Cricetulus griseus: one gene and its partners. The protein of the gene in region 2 interacts with the protein of the main gene of each other region in a pairwise test. Links are inferred from orthologs where the notes say so. Each region holds a gene or a part of one and is shown on either strand. Other genes may lie near its edges.

Region 1 (3,977 bases), on a different chromosome or scaffold from region 2:
AGCATTTGACTTTTCAGTAATGTCAGGTGTTACAGAAGTGAATGTGGCTAGGCCCTCTGTCCAGCTATTCACTAGCAAAACCAACAACTAGCCACTACATCCACTCACTCCTTTGACTGCAGTTGTGTCCAAAATGTTTTACTAGAAAATCAAAGTTTATGGCCCACAGAGGCACCTACCATAAAACCTAGTTAAATGGCTAAGCCATAATTTACGTAGTCTTTTATTGGAATGGGAAGGAGACTACTTTTTTTCAAGAATTGTCCTAATACACAAACACCTCAGGAAGGAGCCCTTTCCATCACTTCCACTTTATGTGTTTCTTCTACCCCTATTCTCAATTTCTTTAAAAACAAAACAAAACCCCCCAAGCAAACATGGGTAAAGATGTAACTCAGAGGTAGTGCTTGCCTACCAAGTGTAAGGACCTAGGGTTTCCTCACCACCATAAAAACAAACCCAACAAAGCACAAACACATACCTTAGCTGGAGATTCATGTAGCTATGTACTTTCTTAGATAAGGACTTAGAACATACAGACCATGCAGTGAGAATAGTTATTAGCATAAACAGAAATATTTTAATTTTCAAATCATGATCCACAGAAGACCAACCAGTAGCTACTGATTTACAAAAAAATCATTATTAGCATTTAGAAATAATTAGAAGTTACAGGTGATTATGAGTCACTCCACATGGATGATGGGAACCAAATTCTCTGGTCCTCTGCAAGAGAGCCACATTGGTTCTTAAACCAGAAAGACAGCTCCAGCTCCATAAAAGACATTTCTTTGCTAATGTTACATTAACTGCCCAACAAGGATCATGTAGTGATTGATAATATAATTGAACAGTGTCATACTAATTTTTACTAACTATAAAGATTTTTTTATTTCAATACAGGGTCTCAACACATAGTTTTTCTGCCTCAGCCTCTGGTGTGCTGAGGTTACAGGAACACATCATTATTCAGAACTAGAAAATATTAATAACAAATACTCACTGACAACTTGTCAACCCCTAAAATATAGAGGACCATTTTGTTCAACAGTAAACTGAATTGTTTTCTCTGATGTGAAATCATTTTGCTTAAATTCTTTCTTTTTAATTCAAACTAGGAATGTGTAACTTTTCTCCTAAAAATTACTTTTTTTTTTTTTTTTTATAAATTGCATTCTCTGATTTTCTTGTCAGCTTGCTTTAAAGATATCCATGTGTTAAGAATGCTTGCTCGAAGTTTGGCCCATACCAAATGGTTGTATAACCCAAATATCTGAGCAGCAAACTGGGCGGATCCTTCTGGAGAAAGTATAGTTGAACAGCCAAGACCTATTGGTTCAGAATAGAAAGGACAAATAAATGAGTTAGTAGCTTAAAAAGAAATAAAAAAACAAAAGATGATAATAAAGCCAAGTCTTTACTTCTTAAGAGATGCATATTAAGCAAAAAATACACAATAATTCAAAAATATAACGTCTGATTTAAAATTAGTAGGCTGTGGCTAAAATGTGTAATTAAATATTAGAAGATGAGGCTGGTAGAGACATTAAGATTGCATCTTGAAATTTTGTGTATACTCCCAGTACTGAAAATTTTCAAGATCTTACCACTGGGCAGTCGAAGGGATGACCACACATCCTGAGCACCCCAGTCTGGTGTGATGGGGGGACAGCTGATAACCGGATATGCAGTATTACCAGACATCACTGGGCCCAAACCATTGCTTCTGCCAGCCACTGCGACAAATACAGTAGGTATGCCATCGCCTAGGGAAATTACAAGATAACCAGGTCCTTTTGTTTTGTTGACAATAACAGCAGGAACAAAAAAAGGGGGGGGGCATGTTAGATGGCTCAGTGGGTAAGGGGAACTGTTGCCAAGTCTGGTGACCTGTTTGACCTCTAGAACCCATATAGTGGCAAAGAATTGACTCTTGCAAGCTGTTCTCTAACCTCCACATATACTATAAAAATAAATGTAAAATACAAAATGAACTCAAATCCTTTAGTAGTCTGCTATAGAAAAAGCATACCTAGCTGTACAGTTAATAATAACCTAAGTAGCATAGGAATGGCCATTTTTGAGATCTACAGTATAAAGAGAATGTCCTGAAGTTGGTAAGGAAATGGCTGGTTCACAGCTTCCTTCTGATATTGCTGCTTAGACTCAGCAGCATGAAGAACCTCACCAGCTGAACAGCTATCTTTTATGATGAGTTGTCCTTCCAGAGGGTGCCAGTAGACTCATTTAATAGTGATTAAAATTCTCGTGGCTACTTCCAGTATTCAGTATTTGGGTGCTGGAGTACATGTAGTAAAAGCACCCAAAGTTAAAGGGCTTAGGATGCTTGAGTTGAAAGGCCCATCATTAGCAGTATCAAAAACCAACAGCAAAAGTACATCTCTATATCTCAAAAGTTTAGGAAGTTTGTATATTTAATACAGTGTTACTCTAGCCCAGGCTCAGCTTGAATTACAGCAAACCCGACCTTCCCACCTGTTAGGACTACAGGTCCTGGTTTTATGTGGTGCTGGATACTGAATCCTGAATTTCTTATTACAACTTAGTCTGCCTTTCTGGAGAAAGAATCCAAGCCTTCATTAGCTTATTAAAGGACCGGAAGCCCTCCTCCCATTGTTAACTACACTTCTGTTAAGTTTTCTTGTACCAACGATATCCTATCATTTACTTAATGTATTAACTCCTGAAACTATAGCTTTATTTCTTATTTTCTTTCAAGAAAACTGACAAAGATACCAGAGAGGCCCTGCTGCTTTAGCCTTAGGCATCCCACAGTTGGGGTAAGGGATTCTTTTCTTTTGGAATAAGCCAGCAACAGTGCTCAAGGGGCACTGTTAATAAGACAAGGAGACCACACATCCTTCTATTTTATGTGTATGGCTGTTTTGCCTCCATGTCTATGCATGGGTGTGGTGTGCAGTGCTCCTGGAGGCCAGAAGAAGTTGATGGATTCCCCTGGACTGGAGCTAGATGGCTGTGAGTGCTCCTCTTAATCAATGAGCCTTTTTTTTTTTTTTTTTTTAAAGATTCAAAAAAATTACAAGTATGTGTGCCTGCATGAGTTTATGGGCATCACATGCATGAGGTACACAAAGAGGGATAGGATGTCAGACATTATCCCTGGGGATAAGTGTAAAAGTATAGGCATTCCACATGACTTTCCTCCGAAATATGGAAAGCCTCTTTAAAACATTATTATCCAAAACATATGTACTTTAAAATATTTTACCCAAATCAGAAATAGCTGAAGTTGTCCATTTATTTATTAAGTTTACCTTCATACTCTGCTTTAATCCTCAAAGTTTCATCCGGTCCTTTATGGGCAGATGTTACTCGAAGTTCACATGGAATCCCGAAGTTTCCACAAGCCTTTTTAATTTTCTCACAGTGACCAAGGTCAGAAGTGGAACCCATCAGCACTACAACCCTGCACTGACTATCTGACTTCAGGAGTAACTCCACTCGATCTGCAACCCACTCAAAGTTCTTCTTTACCATCTGCAGTCCTTCCGGAGTTACTTCCTTGAGGTCACGGTAAGACTAGAAAGATAGAAATTTACAAAATAATTTTCTCTTGCTAGCTTAAAAACCCTTCCTTCCTTTCTTTAAGTAGAGCTTATGACAAGTTTACATAATGAGATATATCTGAAAATGCCCGTTGATGGAGAAATGTTTTTTCAATGAAAAAGTTCAGCAGCAAAGTTTCGCTTTTCATTCCAGGTCAAATGCTTTCTTCCTTAGCAATTACAAGTAGTTGAGTTAAAAGCCTTAATTAAGACTTGGTATGTAGAATCCCATTTCCGTCCCTTAGTCTTGGTATTGTGAAGATTAGACAAACAAGGACAGTTGTCCCTTTGCTGTTTAAGAATCTGAAGGTGACATAAAAAAGCCTGCTTTGTAGGTTAAAAGTATTCCTTACCACCACAGGAGAGTTCGGTTCACTTTTACTTTTGGAT
Region 2 (4,439 bases):
ATACTCACATATGTAACAGAAAACACACCCTTCCCAACCATTTCATACAGTTAATTTGAACTCAGCACTAATCCTTCTCAGCTGTGCAAGGCTCCCATGCTTTCTAGAACAAAAGTATCTTATCTTGATCTCATACTCAATTTAACAATCATTTTCCAAATTGGGCGTGGTTGTGGATGCTTTTAATCCCCTAGTCAACAGAAGCTGAACCATCCCAGTGAGTGTAGGCCAGCCCAGTCTACATCTACACAATGAGTTCCAGGAAAGCCAGGGCTACACAGAGAAACCCGGTCGCAAAAAAAAAAAAAAAAAAAAAGTGTGTGTGTGTGTCCTACAGAACCTGATAGGAATTTGAGACTTTTGCCACAGAAAACAAATGTTATCAAGATATTCTTCCAGTCAGAAGAAAAAGTACCAAGAGTTAGCAAGGAAAGTGATAGTGTCAGAGATCAGCTGGGAGCTTTCTTCAGCTATACAAAGAATAGATGGACATCAGTGAAGATTACACAGGAATACAGAAACATCAAGTTAAGGGCTGGAGAGATGGCTCCACAGTAAGAGCACTGGCTGCTCTTCCAGAAGACCCTGATTCAATTCCCAGCACCCACATGACAGCTCACAACTGTCTGTAACTGCAGTTCCAGGGGATCTGACACCCTCACACAGACATACATGCAAGCAATACACCATTGTACATAAAATTAAATATATATATCAAGATGAACAGCCCAAGATTTAATTGAGAGGATACGCTGAGACTAATAGATATGTACACCCATATGCACTGAATAAAGGGTAAAGAACTTAATCAGAAAAGGCAGGCAAAACTGGCATGGCATTTATAGTGAGTAAAATCCAACTTATCAGTCAAGTGGGGGCAGAAACCATCTACAAGGGCAAGCACAAGTCCTTCTTCAGCTACAAAAGATACAATTTCATAGTAGTCAGAGAAAGTAGTTTCCAAGGGCATGAGAAAGCAGAAAGGTCTCCTGGGGAAGGGGAATGGACCTGAGAACTCAAGTGAGGCAGCTCCTCTAACTTACCTGATGCTATGAAAATCCCTCTTCAGAGTAAAGAGTAAGGGGTGGATCAAAAGTTTCTAGGACAATTCCACACATAAAAGTCAACAGTTGGGCGGTGCTGGGGGCAGAGGCTATGAGCTTGAGGCCAGCCTGGTCTACAGAGCACAGGACAGCCAAGGTTACACAGAGAAACCCTGTCTTGGGGTACAAAAAACAAAAACAAAAAACCTCAAAAGAGGTTCAGAATTCCACCTACCAGATAAAGGAAAACAGTTGTGGAGCAAGAAGAGTCACTCTTAATCTAAACTGGAGGGGAGGGGGAGCCCAGATGCAGAGAGTCGGATGGATGTATGAATAGAAAGAAGGAAAAAACAAAAGGCCGGTCTGGTCTGATAGATCGAGGCTGTAATATAGTCACAGAATTTGAAAGGCTGAGGTAGGAGTTTAGCCTGGGCTAGGACATGTTACAACCCCACCCCCCAAAACACTTCAAAGGAATCAAATCTTGGGCAAAGAAATGCTGAAATTAGCAATTCTGAAAGATACTTTCTCTTTCCAGAAAAGACTGTCAACAAGTAGAAATCTGTTAGAATAAGGACAGAAAAGAAGCTTGCTGAGACACCCTTTTAAGGAAGCCTAAACTTAAGAAAACACAGGAATGACCTAAATGTAGCTGTAGTCTAAGAGAGAAACACGAATCCATCTCTGGGTAGCTGGTTTCGGGATAAAGGTGTGGTGGGGTGACAGACTTGTCCAACAAGACCACTTTTATGGCTGATAAAGCCTGAGGCCAAAGATGCTAAATAACACACGTGGGTTTTGATCATTTCTTCTTAGATGGAGACCTACAATATAAGATGAAAGTTGAGTAAATGGTTTAGAGCCAGTAGGCAGAAACCTCCCTGAAGACCGAAGACCTAATATGGGACAGTGGGCCTTCCCAAGAGGGTTATGTAGGAAAAGAAAGACTCTCCCATGTGCTTGTGCCGTGGAAAGGATGTGATTAGGAGCTGAAGTAGCTCCTCCACTAAGAAACAAGAAAAGTCAATTAGAAGCTGAGTAAAGGGGTTTCTCCGGAGGGACCAGGAGCGCCCATCCACGCGCAGTAATGACCTGATGTTCATGCTTTCAGCTGAGGATGAAAGCAGGTGTAACAGCGGGCTCAAAAAGAAAAAAGCACGAGGGTTAACTCCCACGGTCTCCCCGAGAGGGTGTCGAGTGGGAGCGTGGGTCGAGGTTCTAAGGGTCAGGACCGAGCTCCAGAAACTCGAGCCCGCTCCACTCTTCCCTGCTCCGGCTGGGGGAGGGGGCTAAGGAGGGTGTCCCGGGTCGACGCACCGTCTCACCTTGTAGAAGGCCCCGTTGGAGCCCCGCACCTCGACGGGCAGTCCCGGCTCCACATCCCCCCCAGAGGCCAGGCCGCCCATGGCGCCGCCACCACCTCCGACTGCCGCGGCAGCAGCGGAGGCAGAGCTCTGAGTGCGGGCCGGGCCGGGCCCCCGGCGTCTCCCAGGAGGAGGAGCTGGAGGGGGAGCCGCGGGGGGCGGGAGTCGGGCCGGCCCCACGGCGGCCCTGCTACAGCCGACGAGCAGGGGGCCGGGGCCGGGCCGCTCCCCGTCCGCCACTGCCTTGGTCTCCGCCACCGTGAGAGAAACGGCCGCCGCCGTCGCCTTCGTCACCTCAGCTTCCGCCCGCCGGCGCCCCCCGCTGCTGCCTCAGTCCGGGACCCGCTGCTGCCGCTGCCGCTCCACGGCCTCCACCTCCCCTGCCGCCGCCGCCGCCGCCTACTGCGCAGGCGCACAGGGCACCCGCCCGCCGCGCGCGGAGCCCGAGGGCCAAGGCGCAGGCGTCCAGGCTAGCGACCCAGCTCCGGCTCGCCAGCGCGTCAGGGCTTCCACATTCTCTTCTACTCTCTCACGCCCCCTCCTGGTCGCTCCTCTGCGCTTGCGCAGAACCAGATGAACGCTCTATCTCCAGCTCCCCAGCCTTCCACTATCCCTGTCCCTTCCTTTCCCCGCCCCACAACACTGTGAGCAAACCAATCACGAGAAGGGAGGGGCCGCGCCCGCTCCGTCGGATTGGACTTCCGCCTCCACCAAGTGAGCCCCACAGAGCCGGAGCAATTTAGGGATGGGCATGCGCCGGAATGACTGCTTGGTCACTTTCACCACCTTTGTCTTTCTTGGTGCGCACACTCCAAAGTGCGGGCAGGGGTGGGGGGGAGCCCGAAGGCAAAAAGTGTCCGGTGCGCACGCGCCCCGGGTTTTGGTGTCCATGCGCATGTGTTGACTCTCTGCATCTGTAGGAGATTCAAGAGTCACGGTTCTTGGCTGGAGTGGATTTTCTTAAGTTTGGTGAGACTGGGTCTCCTGTATCCTAGGCTGACCACGAACTCACTAAGCAGTTGGGGAGTGACCTTGAATTCCTGATACCTCCCAAGTGCAAAAATTACAGAAATGCCTGTCATTGCCCTGCTTGCCTTAAGTTGATTCTAGTAAATTCAAGCCCATATCGAAAAGAAAATGCAACATGATTTGATACATAAATGCTAAGGAAATTCAAGACAGGAAAAATTCTCAAACAAAACAAAACAAAATCGGTCCTTGAAGATGCTCAACTATAAAGCCTAACGACTGGGGTCAATTCCTGGAGCTACCCCCACCTCCAGCAAGTTGTCTTCTGACCATCACATGTGTGACATCACTCATGTTCACCCTCAGGACTTCTCTGTGTAGCCTTGGCTGTCCTGGAACTCGCTCTGTAGTGGGCCACCACTTTCCGGCTTAAAAAAAAATTGTAATTAATCCAAAAACCCCTACTAGCCCGGCAATGGTGCACGCCTTTAATCCCAGCACTTGGGAGGCAGAGACAGGAGGATCTCTGTGAGTTTAAGACCAGCCTGGTCTACAAGAGCTAGTTTCAGGACAGGCTCCAAAGCCACACAGAGAAAACCTGTCTAGAAAATAAATAAATACCCTACTAAAAGAAGCTAGAGAGATGGCTCAGTGGTCAAGAACACTTGCTGCTCTTCCAGAGGACCTGAGTTTGGTTCTTGGTACCCACATAGCAGCTCACAAACACTTGTAATTCTTTTTTTAAATTTTATTAATTTTTATTTTATATGCATTTGTATTTTGCCATGGGTGTGAGGTCCTCTGGAACTGGAATTACAGACAGTTGTGAGCTGCCACGTGGGTGCTGGGAATTGAACCCCGGTTCTCTGTAATTCTAGTTCTAGGAGACTGGACACTCATTATGACCTCTGTAGGCACCAGGCACACATGTGGCTCACATACATACATGGAGACAAAATACTCATACATAAAAGTTTTTTTTTTTTTCTTTCTGGGCTCGAGAGATGGCTCAAAGGTTAAGAGCACTGACTGCTCTTCCAGAGGTCCTGAGTTCAATTCCCAG
Region 3 (2,644 bases), on a different chromosome or scaffold from region 2:
CCAAGACTGATGGAGATGCTGCCTTCACATGCATTATCCACTATAGTATCCACTACAGGCTCAACCTGCTTATTGAAATGTGAGCTGCTACTGTGGAACACATCAAATATACCATTGATATCAGTAAACTACTTGTTAATATATGTGTGGAATTCCAGATGTCATGGACACCTGCATAATTTTAACTTAGAAGACTGCATAGTAACCACATAAGTCAACACAAAAGACCTATGCTACTCAGTAAGGTACACTTCTCCTGACTGATCCTGCTTTGCTCTGATCACTAAATTAACCCATATAAGTTGAACTATATACCTAGTGTTCTTCACTATCATTATGACTGAATTCTCAAGAATGAACTTGCTTGCTCTGCACAAATAGCTGTTATATTGTGTTCAGTTTGTATTATAAACTTCTTAAATATAAGGCTTTGTATTTCTCTTCACATCACAACTAGAATATACTAGATTCTCAGAATATTGCCATCTAATGAACACTGAGTATGCTTATACACTGATTATGATTCCAGGAACACCTGCAAAAAAACAGACCCATGGGGAATAAATAAAGGACTTTTATTATAAATTTTGACAATGCAATGCCCACTTAGTTAAATTTTAGTATGCTCTAGTTGTTAAAGTTTTATTCATGTGCAGTATTTTGTATTGATTACTTGAAAGGCAGGATTGCTGCTATTACTTTGAAAGGTACTTTGTCTTTCAGGTCTTACAAATACCATGTAGACATTTTTCTCATTTTACTTACAGAAGTTTAAATTGAAAAAAATTGAGTTATTTGTTTAAAATTGCTATACAAATAAATTGCAAATGGGCCATGAGACCAAAATAAGCTATATATATCATGAAAAATAAACTGTACATATCATTACACATGCAAGTAAAAATAACTAAATCTTTAAAAAGAAATATAGTCTCCAGACTTTATGCCCCTCTAAAATTTTTTCCTAAGGTTCACATACTATAAATTGCATAAACATTTTTATTATTTATATTATACTAAGAAAAAAAACAAATGCTAAAATGAAATAGATAACAGAGAATACATACTATGAAATGTGTTTATTTTTCCTTTACATGATTCCACACAAAAATATTTTGTTGAGAATGAAATAATTTTTAATCTCTGGACAAAAACGATACTCTCAGTGGCACAGAGAGGACTGGAATGCAGTGTGGTATGCTTAGCATGTGTGAGGCCCTGGCTTCAATCCTCAGCTCTCCCCTGCTCCCTCACCAAAAATAAATTCAGGATATGCTGTAAGTTTGATTTTTAAATACATTTAGATGTGGATCTTACAGTTATTTTAACACTCAGACATTCTAGAGTACAACGTGGAAACACAAGTATGTGGTGACTGCTGGATATTCTAAAGGGACAAAGAGCTTTTTTAAAAGCAATTAAGCCTTTCTCTAATATTAACCCTAATCTCTATTCTCCCTTATATACTACAATGTTGTTGTCAGTTTCATAAACTTTTACTTTGTAAAGAACTCCTGTAGGAAGAAGTTTCTGGAGGCTTTCCCAGATATAGACAGCTACATTTTCTGTTGTGCTGAAGAAAAAAAAGGAAAGAAGTTCAAAATACAAATAATGAACAAAATTTCATTTTCATATATAGAGAAAACAGGAATTCCAGTAACATCTACCACTGCATCAATATTTTAGAAATAACATGATAATCACATAGAATGTTAACTTGTTTCATTTCTCCTGCTCAAGGAGAGACAGTGACACACACCTTACAACACCTGCAAAGTAGGGCACATCCAGATCCAGGTTCTTGTGATCAAGTGGCTTCATGATGGCCTCCTACAGACAGGAGAGAGGACACCACTGAGTGTTTATAACTCAGCAACAAAGGGTTCCTTCCCTCAAGTCTCAGAGTCTCACTCTCTCATTTAGTCAAGACTCAACATTGGGAAGCAGTCCGACAATGCTGTGAAACAAAGTTAGGCCCAGCTCCCTGTAATGACTGTGTATTCTTGCTCCTGATGCAGAGGGAAGAAACCACAAAAACAGAGTTCCTGGGACTTCCTAGAAACAGAGCCCTTGTGATTCACACACAGTTCAGGTTAGCACTTCTAAAAAGTTACTAGAAACTCTTTTATACAGTACCCTGTGCCATTAAGGCCTGATCTAAAATGATGGACATTCTCTAAATTTCTGTCCCAAAGAATAATTTAACAATAAGCTTCTGTCTTAGAAGAAAAAAAAAAAAACATTTCCCTATCACTCCCTGATGTTTACATATATTGACATAATGTTTCTTCTTGTCATTAGTAAAGATTGTAATTGCCTTATTCTTTCCAAATTTTTATCATTAGCTCTTCTACAAAAGTTTAAGCATATGTGAAACAAACTAATTTCCTACCTGGTCTGAAGGTACCTAATAACTCGTTTTCTTAAACAGAACTGGAGTCATACAAAAAGAGTGATTCCTAAATCAACTTCTAAACCACTTGATTTTTAAAAATAAATCAAATGAAGAGATGTGAATACCAAGAAAATAAATATCTTTACTCTATCTTGGACCCCAATTCTGGCCCCAACTTCTCCACTGCAGTTTCTACAGGACTCTAACTTCACTCTATGGCCACAGGAAGCCACTTTTACTGGTGGGAAT

The links.
Region 1: the proteins of Fxr2 (region 2) and Paics interact in binary tests that used the Homo sapiens proteins (3 or more experiments, as listed by UniProt). The link is inferred for Cricetulus griseus from reciprocal best matches to the Homo sapiens genes FXR2 and PAICS.
Region 3: the proteins of Fxr2 (region 2) and Pts interact in binary tests that used the Homo sapiens proteins (3 or more experiments, as listed by UniProt). The two-hybrid records come from large-scale screens. The link is inferred for Cricetulus griseus from reciprocal best matches to the Homo sapiens genes FXR2 and PTS.

The regions. Positions count from the first base shown.
Region 1 is NW_023276807.1:143,382,124-143,386,100, reverse strand, and holds the end of Paics (multifunctional protein ADE2), read right to left. Parts: intron 3,562-3,977; coding exon 3,297-3,561; intron 3,060-3,296; exon of another isoform or gene 1,767-3,059; coding exon 1,608-1,766; exon of another isoform or gene 1,584-1,607; intron 1,330-1,583; coding exon 1,163-1,329; 3' UTR 558-1,162; downstream 1-557. UniProt on the Homo sapiens protein: Bifunctional phosphoribosylaminoimidazole carboxylase and phosphoribosylaminoimidazole succinocarboxamide synthetase catalyzing two reactions of the de novo purine biosynthetic pathway.
Region 2 is NC_048600.1:83,475,041-83,479,479, reverse strand, and holds the start of Fxr2 (fragile X mental retardation syndrome-related protein 2), read right to left. Parts: upstream 2,806-4,439; 5' UTR 2,450-2,805; coding exon 2,369-2,449; intron 1-2,368. UniProt on the Homo sapiens protein: mRNA-binding protein that acts as a regulator of mRNAs translation and/or stability, and which is required for adult hippocampal neurogenesis. Specifically binds to AU-rich elements (AREs) in the 3'-UTR of target mRNAs.
Region 3 is NC_048597.1:162,277,567-162,280,210, forward strand, and holds the end of Pts (6-pyruvoyl tetrahydrobiopterin synthase), read right to left. Parts: intron 1,831-2,644; coding exon 1,760-1,830; intron 1,574-1,759; coding exon 1,450-1,573; 3' UTR 558-1,449; downstream 1-557. UniProt on the Homo sapiens protein: Involved in the biosynthesis of tetrahydrobiopterin, an essential cofactor of aromatic amino acid hydroxylases. Catalyzes the transformation of 7,8-dihydroneopterin triphosphate into 6-pyruvoyl tetrahydropterin.